2 linked regions of the Rhinolophus ferrumequinum genome follow. The protein of the gene in region 2 purifies or fractionates together with the protein of the main gene of each other region. This does not show direct contact. Links are inferred from orthologs where the notes say so. Each region holds a gene or a part of one and is shown on either strand. Other genes may lie near its edges.

Region 1 (8,019 bases), on a different chromosome or scaffold from region 2:
CACTGAAGTTACACACTTTTAAGAACCTAGTAGTAGAGAGAACACGGAAATATTTAAGAAATGTACTTCAAAGTCTAAAATTAAACACATCTATTTGGGATTCGATTTCTCATTTTTTAAAAAAGAAGGTATTTGACTAGATGATCTTTAAAGCTACAGTGATACTTTAACCTGTTTTAAAACAAACAAATTCTATGATTTAATTCAGACAAAACCTCTCCCAAGATAACTCCCATAAGGATATATTTTACTTACATTCTTCCTACACCTTCATACATGTTAGTCTCGTCTACCAAAGTCATAATCTCTGTATCTGTAAGATGTGCATGCTTTTTCGTTCTGTTTAGCTGTTCAATCTGTATATCTGCAAGCTTCACCTTCTGTTGAGTGTCAATAACTTTAGCTTGAAGCTCTGTGAAGGCCTAATAAAAACAAGTCCTTGATTTAGTAGGTGAAACACTTAATAAGAAACATTTAAGTTAAATCCAAATGTATTAAAATTAAGCATGCTAACCAGAGACAAAGCTATGAAATTTACCAAAGCAAACATCAATAAAAGTCAGTATAATTATAATCGATCAAGCCACTAGGCTACATACTGAAATTACCCTGTCAGAAGATGGAATCTATTTGAAGCAGAAACAAATGCACATTAAGTAATAACCATGTCAAGTAGCAGGGACCCAAGGAGTAATAAAAGCAATGAATGCAATAAACAGAGGATGAAACCCAGAAATCCAAAACAAGAACCATAAATGTAACAACTCTCTACATTTGTGTTATTCAACCAGGTTTCAAAGCACTTTCCCACGTTTCAAATATTAATAGAAATATTAACATGAGAACACTGAAGGATATAATAATATCGCATTTATTCCTCTCAATAATCCTATGAGTTAGAAATGGCTATTTCATCATTACAGTTTACAAATTAAGTAACCAAATGTGTTAAAGAGCTGTAAGTGGCTTGCACAGGGTTGACCGACTATCAGGTGGAAAGGCAGGTACTAAATTTCTTGTGACCCCTAGTTCAGGAATCTACCCATTCTACTGTCTACAGTAATATAAAGAACATAAATAATAGAGATATTTTAAAGAAAAAGACAAAAAAGGAAAACATTTCAAAGCATTGGTAGAATTGGATCATGATCTTCATATACACATACCAGGCCAAATTTGAACCTTGTGTACACTGTTCAACCTTGTGTACGCGTAACTGAAAGATAAACACAGTTCTTGGATACTCTTGTTGAAGTGCCTGAAATTTAACAGTGCATGCTGTTAAATTTATGCCTTAATAATAACATTTGTGACTGCAATACATGGCAAAAGGTACTACTTAACTTTTATTCTGACTTTGTTCTCACCTACTGGTAAGGTTTCCAAAGATTTATTTTGTATGAAGGGAGGTGCCTGAAAATTTCCTACTAGTCTCCAGCCAAAATAAAACCTTATCGAGATATTAGAAGATAAAATCTTTAAACGAGTTTCTTCAGTTAATTGGTTGTAAAACTATCCAACTTAAATGTGTAATCATTTTCTTAGTTTTCATTCATTGCCCACAGGTGTCTTAGCAACAAATTCAAATAATACTGGGAAGTTAAGTCCATTCATAGCTCTATGTTAGCTCTTTCAATAAATCCAGGCTTAAATTTGAACTTTTAACAGGAGAAAAAAGTAAATTTTTACACTGCGTTAAGCATTCTTAAAATGAACTTTGTTCTGCATGTAAAATTACCTGATTGTTCTGTACACAGTTTGCTAAGGGAGCTGAAATATTGTTAAAGCTGAGATACTTGAGCATTAGAGAACACCACGTAAGGGCAAAATTTACAAGTTTCAAAACAAGAATGACAAAAAGCAAGACATACACATAAATCCTCACAGCAATAACAAAGAGCTTCATGTAGTACGATCGACAGCTATTTCAGCTGTCCTATTTCTCATGCAAAGGTTGACCAAAAGGGAATCTGAAGTAAAATTTGCTCTTATGAAGAACCTAAGTAGTCAAAAGGTGTGGAGCAGACAATACTGGATTCTAGTCCCAACCTTTGATTCAATTTTTTTCTGGAACTCAGTTTCCTTTTCTGGAAAAGTATAGTTTAAACTAGATGCAGCCTAGGATCCTTTCCAATACCGGTCCCCCTCCCCACCCCAAAAAACTGTTGGGGTCCGTAATGATGTTAGAATCCTGACAACTCTTAGATGATGAAAACGTTTCTGAATAATAACACATTTATAAGCAATTGTTTGAATAGAGAAACCCAATTCCTTCTGATTATCAATTTTATTTGTAAAACTTGGCAGGACTTGTTTCTTTTTCGACAAGTCCTTCAAAAAAGGTAAAAGGTGGGGAGCCAGAGCCCTGAGATGCACAATGCTATGAGCATGTCTGACTCTGGACTGTACTGCGACCTTTCAAGATATGGGATCGAATAAATGGCCTAAAAGCACTGGCTGGATTTGGAATTTTTCAAAGCTAATGAGGATGCACCATTACAGATGCCTAGGCTCAGGCGAACCGTCCTAAGGGGCTCCAATTTGAAACGCTTATTTCAGGCCTCAATACGAAACTGAAGGCCCAAGCGCAACGTAACGGCTCTGCAGCTCGGAAGAGAACAGGCCAGCTATTGGCGCACCAGACAATCAAAGACAGCTCAACGGGCTGTTACCCACCAAGAGCCGCTCGCCCCCTACTCCAACTTAAGAAGACCCGATCCCGCCTTGGGACTTCAGGAAATCATTCCCCAGTTCCCTGGGGCCTCTTTCCGTCTTCAAGACTCGAGCCTCCTCGATATTCTTATCCACAGTCCCCTTAGCTACTAAAGAGAAGCCTCGGCCTGCTCAAGACGCTCTCTTACCTTCTTTAACTCCAAATCCACGGGCGCCGCCATCTTGGCTCACTCTCTGCGCCTGCGCGATGGAAGAAGGCCCGAAAAAGTGAGGAGGAAGGGCGCGCTTTGGCTGTTTAATTGTCCCCCTTTCTTCTGCGCCTGCGCATAAATCGGGCTTGCCGGGCTTCTTCCCTTCACGCGGGCTAGTGGCGCTTGAAATGAATATTCTGGATTCGATTCAGCCTGTGTTCCCCACGTGATCTATCAGGTTTGGGCTGCTTCTCCACGTCCTTCCAGCCACAACATCAACATGCAGATTTCGTGTATGGTTTTAAGCATTTTGACAAATAGCTCAGTTTTTGCTGCTAAATTGAGACGTATGAATATCAGACCAAAACCTCTTCAGTCATTCAGTCCTTCAGCTAGTCCCTGTGCTGTCAGGAATGAGAATCAGCCTGCACCTCAGGCATGCCAGTGTGGAGAAAAACAAGATTATTGGAGTGGTCTTCCAAAGAACTTATTTCTAAGGAATGCTCTTGGAGGACATTTTTGACATAGTGGTTCCCAAGAGAAGCCAAAAAAGTATGTTTAAAAACAAACAAACAAAAAAACACAGATTGTCTGGTCCTCGTCCCAAACTTAATTACTTAGAATTTTTGAGATTGGGGCCCAGAAATTTGCACTTTTGCAAACAATCCTTATGACCTGATGCAACGTCATCTGCAGACCAAATTTTGAGAATTTGCTGTAAAAGATCTAGCATTTGAACCAGAATATTGGATAGAAATTGGACTTTAGGACATGGCAGAAATGGATGTTTTATCTACTCTAAAAACTTGTGAGGGGGGCCGGCCTGGTGGCTCAGGCGGTTAGAGCTCCATGCTCTTAACGCCGAAGGCTGCCGGTTCGATTCCCACATGGGCCAGTGGGCTCTCAACCACAAGGTTGTCGGTTCGACTCCTTGACTCCCACAAGAGATGGTGGGCTGCACCCCTTGCAACTAGCAATGGCAACTGGACCTGGAGCTGAGCTGCGCCCTCCACAACTCAGATTGAAAGGACAACAACTTGACTTGGAAAAAGTCCTGGAAGTACACACTGTTCCCCAATAAAGTCCTGTTCCCCTTAAAAAAAAAAAAAAAAGAAAACTTTAAAAAAAAAAAAAAAAAAAAAAAAAAAAAACTTGTGAGGGAAGGGAAAGGGAAGGAATTTGGAACCGGCCAGACCTGGATTAAAGGTTTGGTTTACCTTGAGCCTAGGTCTGTTTGGTTCCATTTACTAGCTATGTAGCAATAGAGTTTGTCTCCTCTTTTAATTTGAGAATAACAATATTGACCTAATAGGATTATTGTGAGGAATACATAAGATCAGGATGAAACACTCCAAACATAGCACCACACACACAGTAGGTACTCAATGAATAGTTGTTAGTTGAGGTAGTTAACATTGTCATGTTTGTCTTTCAATGTCCAGCAAACAGGTCACCTCCTCCATTATGTCTTTTTTTTATTTTTTACATCACTCAACAACCAAAAATAATATCTCCTTTAAACTCTCCTCAAGACCACATCTGTTCTTCTCTTAAGGCACATGAAACTTTCTACCTTCAATTTTTTTTCCTTATTAGACTGTAAGCTCCTTGAAATCAAGAACGATAGAATAATTGTTCTCCCAGCACTTATACCCAGAACACCTATCACAGTGCCTCATAGGGAAGAAATACAAAATAAACACTTGATGAGAATGAATTCTTCAGAAGAAAATTTGTCATCACTTTCTAATTTGAGAAAGAAAAGGGGGGCCTAATTTTACTCTGGGGCCTTCTTAGAACTTCACTATAGATAATCAATAAATAATGACCCAAAAATTAAAATTCATAGAAAGTCTCAGATACTTTACTGTACATTACCTCATGAGATTTTGAAACACTCCTCATAGCAATTCATGTGTAATGTAAAAAGTTAAGAGCATGGGCTAAGGTATCAGACAACCTAGGTTCAAGTACTGTCTGTATTATTTAATAAGAATGTGACCCTAGGCAAAAGTCTCCTCTCAAATTTTTTGGTCATTGTTCCTTTTTGCATACCACTCCTTCCTCTTGAGTTTAATTTCCTTCTTGATAAAGTAAATCTTCAGTATATTCTTTCAGGATGAGTATTTGAGAAGTAAACTCTGTTAGTCTTTGTGTTAAGGGTTGAATTGTATCCCCCAAAAAAAGATGTGTTGAAGTCCTATATCCAGTACCTCCAAATGTCATCTATTCAGAAATCCAGTCTTTACACAGGTAATGTTAAAATGAAGTCTTTAGGGTGGGCCCTAATCCAATATGTCTTAGTCTTTCAGGCTGCTATAATCACCACAGAGTGGATGGCTTATAAACAACAAACATGTATTTCTCACAGTTCTGGAACTGGAAATCTGAGATCAGGGTACCAGTACGGTTAGGTGAGGGTCCTCTTCAGGGTTGCAAACTGCAGACCTCTCACTATGTCCTCACTTGGTGGAAAGGGTGAGGGAATCTCTGTGGGGGTCTCTTATAAGATCCAGTAAAGCCACTTTTGGGTATACACCCAAAAGAATTAAAACAGGGACTTGAATAGATATTTATATATCCATGTTCAGAGCAGCATATTCACAATATGCAAAATGTGGAAATAATTGGAAGCAAACACATGTTATAACCCAGGTTAACCTTGAGGACATTTTGCTAAGTGAAATAAGCCAGTCACAAGAAGACAAATATTTTATAATTCCACTTATATGAAGGATTTAGAGTAGTCAAAATCATAAAGGCAGAAAGTAGAATGGTGGGTGCCAGGAGCTAGGGAGAAGAGGGGGAATGGGGAGTTATTGTTTAATAGGTATAGAGTTTCAGTTTCACAAGATGAAAGACTTTTAGAGATGGGTGGCGGTAATGGTAGCACAACATTATGAATGCATTTCATACCCCTGAACTGTACACTTAAAAATGGTGAAGAAGGTAAATTTTATGTTATGTCTATATTACCACATTAAAAAATGGAAAAAATTTATTTGTACCTTTTTCAAATCTACCTGCTCTTTTCTTTTTTATGATATGTAATGATATATTCTTGCCTAATAGTGAACATAATTAGAACATAATGAACATAATTATTCTTAAATGTTTTTACAGTGTCTTATCATCTAGTGTGGATTCTTCCATTGGAGGCATTTGCTGGTCTTTCTTATGAAAGTTGATTTTCTCATATTACTAAGTTCATATTACTGAGTTCATATGACTAAGAACTCATCAAAAGTGTCTAGCATGTCCTGGGCTGTGGAAACATCCCTTCACATCCATTTCCACCAAAGCCCTGTGAGATTCACAGGTTCCAAACCAGTTTTTATGTTAATTCTTGACACCACATGAATGTACCAAATTTAGGGAAAAATAAAACTTTCCCTGAGCATAAAGTTGGCAGAATGTGATATACATTTACAGACTGGAAGCCACTGTAATATTTTTCCATATCTCCTTTTCATTTGGGTCTTCAAAATAAAATTATTTCCTTTCTCTCTGGAGCTTTTAAAACAGCAGAAAGGGGGCCGGCCCGGTGGCTCAGGCAGTTGGAGCTCCATGCTCCTAAATCTGAAGGCTGCCGGTTCAATTCCCACATGGGCCAGTGGGCTCTCAACCACAAGGTTGCCAGTTCAGTTCCTCGAGTCCCGCGAGGGATGGTGGGCTCCGTCCCCTGCAACTAGTAACGGCAACTGGACCTGGAGCTGAGCTGCGCCCTCCACAGCTAAGACTGAAAAGGACAACTTGAAGCTAAATGGCACCCTCCACAACCAAGACTGAAAGGACAACAACTTGAAGCTGAACGGCACCCTCCACAACTAAGATTGAAAGGACAACAACTTGACTTGGAAAACAGGCCTGGAAGTACACACTGTTCCCCAATAAAGTCCTGTTCCTCTTCCCCAATAAAAATCTAAAAAAAAAAAAAAAAAAAAAAAAAAAACCAGCAGAAAGAGACCTTCTATGAAAGCACTGAAGAGTTTGCAGTACTTCGACATTTGCTTAGAGAATAACCAGGATGTGCTGGTGTCTATCGTTTTCATAGTAAAAACAGACTTCCCACTGAAGGATTCACTAGCACAGGGATGTACTACTTCTGAGGTTCAATCAGTCCACAGTTGTGGAATTTAGAAAGGTGATCTATTATCCCTCAGTTCTGTTTCTCCATGCGCAATACACTTATTTAGTCATTTAACAAATATTTATTGAACATCCATTAGACATTGATCCAGGCCCTTGGGATGTAACAGTAACAGGCGACAAACTCTCTCACCTCATGGAGTACATATTCCAGTGGGGGACAGACAAACAATAAACCTGCAAACAAACAATTTCAGATATTGATCAGAGTTATCAAGGAAGAAAACAACAATGTGGTTAGAGATTGGGTGGAGTCCACCAAGGTGTGGGAAACTCTCTGGAAGGACACTCATCTGAGATGGGACTTGAAAAATGAGAATGAGCCAGCTATGCAAAGAGCTGGGGAAAGAGCATTCCAAACAGAAGGAATAGCAAGAGCAAAGGGTATAGGATGGGAAGAGGCTTGGCAGGAAGAAGCTGGATAGGAAGATTGGTGGAAGGTGACATCAGAGAGTTGGACAGGGGGCCAGACCGTGAAAGGCCTTCTAAGCTACAGTCCTTGCAAGCTACAGTCAGGGGTTAGAATGTTATTTTGAGTGTGATTGGAAGCCATTGAATGATTTCAAGCAGGGGATTGATATAATCTGAAGAGATTGATATGATCTCATTTTGTTTTATTTTTTAAATTTTTATTGGGGAATATTGGGGAACTATGTGTTTCTCCAGGGCCCATCAGCTCCAAGTCATTGTCCTTCACTCTAGTTGTGGAGGGCACAGCTCACTGGCCCATGTGGGAATCAAACCGGCAACCCTGCGGTTCAGAGCTTACGCTCTAACCTACTGAGCCATCCAGCCTCCCCACATGATCTCATTTTAAAGGCATCATTGTGTGTTCCACATGGAGAATGGATTGGAGGGAGCAAGAGTAGAAGCAAAGAGACCACTTAGGAGAGTATTGCAGTAGTGCAAGAGAAAGATGATGGTGATCTAGGTGAAGATGACAGCAGTAAAGATAAAAAGAAGTAGATGGATTCAGGTAGAAGTTACTGAACTTGATGAAGGAATG
Region 2 (6,934 bases):
TATCAAGTGGTTGAAATAAAGTATAACTAAAAGGTAAACAGAGCAATCTTTTGTAACAGGAACAATAAGCAAAAGAAAATAAGTAAAACCCAGTAGCATTTTTAACCTGTATAGTACATGCTGATCCTTGAAGAAAAGCTAGTTAATTAGATAAGGAACTAGATGAAAATAGATGGAAACTTTAAGGAGAGTCTATACGAGACTTCCAGTTCTTTGAAGAACTTGAGACCTTCATTGTAAGTTAAAGTCAATTATCTTACGGTTTCTGGCATCTCTACATCATTATTCTTATTCATGCTTACTAACTGTAAAGGACTATTTTAGCCAAAAGAAGAAGAAAAAGGAAGAGAAACACAGCAAGAGCGTGAACTATGAAGCCATCAAACTAGAGACAGTAAAAGAAATTCAAAAGGTGAGGGAGCGGCAATGGCTGAACTTTGCATGTAAAATGGAGATACCATCTTCCTGGAGGTAGTAAAACTGCAAGAAAGGAAAATAAGTGCCAGTTTCTAGCACAGGGGGACATACTACTAGGAGCTTAGAGTGTAGCAAGGAGAATTAACTATAGTAGCATAGGTTGGAGGTTAAGAGCCAGGGCTGCCTGGTTTGAATCGTGGCTTCACCACATACTCAATGTGTTGAGTTGAGGGAAGTTATTTAACCTCTGTCTCAATTTCCTCATCTGTAAAATTAAAAAAATAAAAAGTGTATTTTCCTCACAGGGGATTAAATGAGTTAGCATTAAAATGCTTAGAATGTGTAAAATGCTTAGAAGAGTACACAACAGCTTGTAACTGATAATAAACATTAGCTATGTCTACAATACAACGTACTAAGGAAACGTGAAAGTGCCAAGAATTCCATTTGGGGTACTATCAGGAAGAACTACAGGGAGATTATATCTGAAATTAGGTGTTGAGAGATGAAGAGGTCAGCAAATGGAGAACGGGGAAAGGAATAATTCAAGCAGGAAAAGAAAACAAATTACTACACCACTGGGAATGCGAAAAGGGAGAGGTCTGACTCCTAACCAGTATGGTATACTGCCTTTCATCACAGAAGACAATATACAGTCGGCCCTCTACATTGGCGGGTTCGGAGTCCGTGGTTTCAACCAACTGCAGTTCAAAGATATTTGAAAAAAATGTTAACTTGTTGCTGACATGTACTACTTACTCCCTAAACAATGTAGTATAACAACTATTTACATAGCATTTATATCTTATTAGGTATTATATGTAATCTGGCGATGATTTTAGTATATGGGAAGATGTGCATGTGTGTAGGTTAATACAAATACTACGACATTTTATATATGGGACTTCAGCATCTGCAGATTTTGAATGAGGGTAGGAGGGTCCTGGAACCAATCCGCCATGGATACCGAGGGACCACTGTATATTAAGCATCAACTTGCAATACTGAAAGCACATTCTCTGTTTCTCATAGCAACTTTGTAAGTATTGTCATCGCTACTTCTGTTAAGGAACTGAGGCTCAAAGTAGTAAAACAATATGCTCAAGACTAAGCAGCAATTATTCTTTCTATAACACCATGATAGTCCCATTAGTTTGGGAACATAAAAATAATTACGTAAAATTTGGATGGCTTATCATATCATGTTGGCAGAAATTTTAAGGTCTAAAAAAAAAAATAACCCATAGAATTTTAGGGGAAAAGGGCACTTTAAGATAAGACTTTTTTTCTAAAGCCTTCAGATAAAGTTTGTCATCCTGAATTAGATTTTTGAAGCCAACTCTAGCTGAGCACCAGGATGAAGTATTTAAGGCACTATGGAAATACAATTTGACATCTAGTTATGGGTTTATACTATGTGTCAGGCACTGTGCTAGGACCAGGAGAAAATGACACTGAGCAACATGGTGACCTGCCTTTCCTCCCAGTAGCAGAGCAGGATGTGTACACAGAGGGGCTCTCCAGCCCCACAGATTGCCCAAGTTCAAATCCTGGATAACTCACTTACACCCTGTGTGGATCGGAGGAAGTTATTCGAGGGCTCTGTGCCTCAGCTTCATCATCTACAAAATGGGATAACATTACCTACCTCCTAGAGTTTTGTAAAAGCATTAGGAAAATGCCTGGCACTCAACAAATTTTATCTCATTTCCATTAGTTGAGAGAGAAATGTAAAGAAATAAATGGCACAGCTCAGGGAGGAAATACGAAATGACTGAAGAAAATAACTACAAAACTGAATCAGCAAATACAAATATGCAATATACAGTGTATATAAAAGTAGTTTAAGTAAAAGAAATGGGTCTTTTGAAGGAGATATGACTAAGACAAAGGCAGAGATAAGGCAATATAAGTACAAACCAAAAGGTCGGGAAAATTCCATTAAGATTTTATAGTAGCTCAGCCAGAACTGAGTGGGTAAAATCATTCCTCCAAGGCAAGAGACCACCGCATTCCTTCAACAGACTAGGCTTTATTTCCTATTCTCAGCCATCCAGGGCACAGACACAGGTACAAGACCTCATCTCCGGAGTGGAGGCAAGCACAGAATCACCAGCACACCTAGGCTGAGTCTCAAGCTTCTCACTGCCTCCCCTTTTCCAGGCAGCAGGGGATGAATCCTGGTGTCTAGTAAGCAGTTAGGGGGCGCTCCCTCAGACCGCCCCGCTCCCGAGTCCTCCCTCCCCAGGCCCTCTTCTGTTTTGGGGCCTTCTCGGACTGCGTTTCCCCTGGGGCAGGTCCCAGCACAGCACACAGCACAGTCTGTCCACGCACGAAGCGCGAGAGGGGACGGAGCGCTCTCTCGCCGAACCTTCAGCTCAACTCCTTCCCCCAACAGTGGAGGCCAGGGTGGGGACTGGGAAGGAAGGGGTCGCGGCCTAGCGTCAAGATGCCTAGGAACAGCGTATCTCTTACCACAAACACGGCTTCAGGAATCCCTAGGTGGTACCGCCGACCGTTTCCTGCAACCACTTCTCCTGAGCCACAAGCATCTTTAGCGGCCGCCATCTTGGGGAAGCAAGCGCACGACTAACCGCCTTTCCAGCCGCCAGCTGCCGCGGGTCCGTGATTGGCTCGCTCACACCCGCAGGCCCGCCCCTCCTTTGCGAGTCTGCGCATTCGTAGGCAAACAGGAAGTAGACGCTCCTTCTCCTCCCTCGCGCTGTCGCCCATCCTGTGGGTGCTGATTGGCTGCACGCAGGTGAGTGACAAGTTTGGAAGGGCTGCGGAGGAGAAGCTGGTTGTGCAGGAAGGACCAATACGGACTCCTGGAAAAAGGGACGCCTGGAAAAAGGGGTCCCGGGGATTTTGTGGGTGGGTAATTTACTTGCAGTCATTAAAGGAGATGGGACTCACATAGCCAAAGCTCTGTCTCCTCAAGGGAGGCTTGGCCATTCATTGCTTTTATACACTATTTGGTTAATTGCACGTTGATTTCTTCTTTGCAGTTGGCTACACCTATCCAGTTGAGTACCTGTCAAGCTCATCCTGTTTATGGCTGCATCTGCAAAATACTGTGCTATATTTCAACATTTAGCAAGAATAGCATTTAGTAAGAACCAGCCAGACCTTGAGAGACTTGTCCTATTGCTCCCTGAGGTTTCTCACTCCTCATTCTTGGGAGGATGGGGACAATGGGTCATACTTCTGTAACTGCTTCCTATTGAACATGGATGAAGTACATGTTTGAGTTAGAGGAGTGCAATTCTTTGGCTGCCTGACTTATGAAAGCCTTGGGGTCCCCTGGGTTCTGGAAGTCCTGAGAACAGGAGTGCATAAAGAGCACTACTCTCACAGGAGACATGCGCCATAACAGACAACTCAGAAGCAGGGGAAAATATTAAAAAACAAAACTATTAGTAGTGTCAACTGAAAAATAATATTGACTAGGTGTTTCGGCACCAAAAGGAATATATTTGGGGGAAAACAAAAGGTTGTAACCCAGTGCATGCAGACATGGCAAGCCACATGTACACTCTGGCCTGCCTGTAAAGATGGAAGGGTATTTATGGAAGAGAAAGGGGAGTTAAGGGAAGGGGAAGTTACTACCATATAAACATAGAGTTCTTCCTGTAGGCCTCTCGCTGTTAGAGTGTAAGAACTCCTCCCAAAAACCTTAGTTCTTCCCATAGACTCTATTGACTAATTATGTTCCCTTAAAGTTCCAGTTAGTCTTTACCAGTAATTATATAATGAAATACACTAGTAACTGTTAAAAACTCCAAATAAATGGAGAGAAATTAAAGAATGCCTGAATGAATAAATAAGTGGTTATGCTGTGGTTATGCTGTGTTCATGGTTTGGAAGTGCTGATATTGTTAAGATATCTGTATGTATATTTTCTCCAAATTTAACTGTAGATTCAATGTAGTCCCAGTCAGTGTTCTAGAGGACTTTTTTCCATAGAAATTGATCAGCTGATTGTAATATTTTCCTGGAATTCAAAGAGAACCTGAATACCTGAAACAATCTTGAAAAATATGAATAAATATGGAAGACTAATACTACCTTACTTTGAGGCCCAGAGAAAACTATGATAATCAAGACAGTGTGTTATTGGACTAAAGACAGACATTTGGATCAAAGGAACAAAATAAAGTAAAAAATAGACCCATAAATAGGTTGTCAATTGTGTGTGTGTGTGTGTGTGTGTGTGTGTGTGTGTTGTGTCTAGGGGGAAACAAATCTTTTATTGAAATTTTAACTTGTGAATTAATGCCATATGTTGGGATTCTTATTTAGTGAGATCAAAGTCATGCTTTTGATGATATGATTCCTCACAAAGAAGACCCTATTATCCACACATTTTATTTTTGCAGCTGCTTAAAAAAAATCTTCTCATTATTCATATTCATTTTACTTTTTATCTCCAGATGCAAGTTTTATTATTCAGCTAACTGTCCCAAACACCCCCAATTCACTGATGCCTTTTTTAATTTTATTTTTAATTATAGTTGATATATAATATTATATTGATTTCAGGTATACAACTTAGTGATTCAATGCTTATATAACTTATGAAGTGATCACCATAATAAGTCCAGTATTATCTAGTGTTATAAACAAATCTAGTATTATCTAGTATCATGTCACTGTACATAGTTATTATATTATTTACTATATTCCCTTATGTTGTACTTTACATCCCCATGTTATCAATTGAATTTTAAGAAACGTACCAAGGCAACCCAAGGGAAAAGGAATTTATTTTTCACAAATGTTGCAGGAACAACTAGGTAACTATATGGAAAAAGTAAATCTCTACCCTTACCTGTCACCAAACATAAAAATGTATTTTTAGGAGGATCACAGATCTAAACAAAAACTGAAATTACAGAGCTTCGAGAAGAGAAATGGAGGATATCTTCATGACATTGGGATAATCAAATATTTCTGAAGACACAAAAAGCACTAATCATAAAAGAAAAACTTGATAAATTGGAGTTCAAAATTAGAAAACACCTGCTCAGCAAATGATACCATTAAGAACATGAAAAGGCAAGCCACAGACTAGGAGAAATTATTTGTGTAATATATCTAACAGAATTAATATTCAGAATGTATAAAGAACTATAAATCAATCAAAAAAAGAAAAACATTAAAATGGACAAAACAGTTGGATATTTCACAAAAAAAAAAATATTGTAATGGCCAATAAGTATGTGAAAAGTTGCTTACTCATCAGAGAAATGTAATTAAACCACATGTGACATTACTACAAAGCCACTACAATGGCCAAAATTTACAATATTGACAGCAGTAATTGTTGGCCAGAATTTTGAGCACCTAGAATTCTCACACATTGCTGGTGGAATAAAGTGGTACAGTCATTTTTGGAAAATTTTTGGAAGTTTTAATTTTAGACAAACACATACTGTATGACCCACCCATTCTACTCCTAGATATTTACCTGAGAGATGTAGCGACAATCATCTACAAAAGACTTGTACAAGAATGTTAATAGACCTTGTATTTGTACATCAATTTAAAATTTAGTTTAAAAATGAGTATGAAGCAATATATTTTCAGGTAAACAAAAACTGAGTTTATCACCAGCATAACTACACTAAATGAAATTCTAAAAGGTGTACTTCAGGAAGAGGGAAAGGATTCCAAGGCAAGAAGGGATGGTAAACAAACAAACAAAAAACCTAAACACATGGCTAACTAAATCTAAACAAAAACTATTTCTATAAATACTAATACTTTTAATTTCAGAGGCTAATAGAATGGGGCAGAGCTAAAATGCTGGACCACCATAGTATATAAGTTGGGTAGGAATGCCCTTGTACTTTAAAAGTGTTCTAAGGTCCTTGTGTTATTTGGGAGGGGAGATTAAGATATTAACTTTAGTTTTTGATCATTTTGAAGGATAACTATTAAAACAAGAGAAATACAGTGCATCACCTCCAAAACACTGAATTGAAGAATCTCAAAAGTATTGATGTTTCACTGAATGTTTATTTTACTTGGAAGATGTGGGTGATTCAGTTCAGGCTGGGAAAGATCTTGGTTTTTTCACCTCTAAATTTCAATCTTTTTGCTTCGGTACTTCTACACAGATTGTGTCTGGGTAAAAGATAGACATATAAATTTTACATCATTTCTCCATATATTTCTTTGTGGCTATAAAATAAATTACAAATATTATTATACACAAAAGGCTTGGTCAGTCTACTTATTAGGAGGTCCGGCCTCCTAAGACAAACATTCAGGAACCAGGGGCCCCAATACACTGGCTGAAGACTGAAGGAAGAAATCTTACAAAGATTTTTAGAAAACAATACTCTTGAGGTAATGAACACGTGGATCATGGCACTCTCCCATATGCTTCAGCTATACTCATCCACGTTACCACTGCCTGTTTCCATTTCTATGCTCAAGCTGTTTTCTCTGCCTTTAATGCCAAACTTCTATCATCTAAACATCTACTGGGTGGAAATCTTTATCATTTCAG

What was found.
Region 1: the proteins of VBP1 (region 2) and PFDN1 purify together in Homo sapiens (affinity purification with mass spectrometry; 4 studies listed by BioGRID and IntAct, counting the BioPlex papers as one, with this or other methods). This does not show direct contact. The link is inferred for Rhinolophus ferrumequinum from reciprocal best matches to the Homo sapiens genes VBP1 and PFDN1.

What each region holds. Positions count from the first base shown.
Region 1 is NC_046307.1:14,945,940-14,953,958, forward strand, and holds the start of PFDN1 (prefoldin subunit 1), read right to left. Parts: upstream 3,010-8,019; 5' UTR 2,895-3,009; coding exon 2,862-2,894; intron 423-2,861; coding exon 256-422; intron 1-255. UniProt on the Homo sapiens protein: Binds specifically to cytosolic chaperonin (c-CPN) and transfers target proteins to it. Binds to nascent polypeptide chain and promotes folding in an environment in which there are many competing pathways for nonnative proteins.
Region 2 is NC_046284.1:5,461,377-5,468,310, forward strand, and holds the start of VBP1 (prefoldin subunit 3), read right to left. Parts: upstream 3,002-6,934; 5' UTR 2,986-3,001; coding exon 2,893-2,985; intron 1-2,892. Other genes in the region: phosphatidylinositol-binding clathrin assembly protein-like, read right to left, coding at 3,056-3,245. UniProt on the Homo sapiens protein: Binds specifically to cytosolic chaperonin (c-CPN) and transfers target proteins to it. Binds to nascent polypeptide chain and promotes folding in an environment in which there are many competing pathways for nonnative proteins.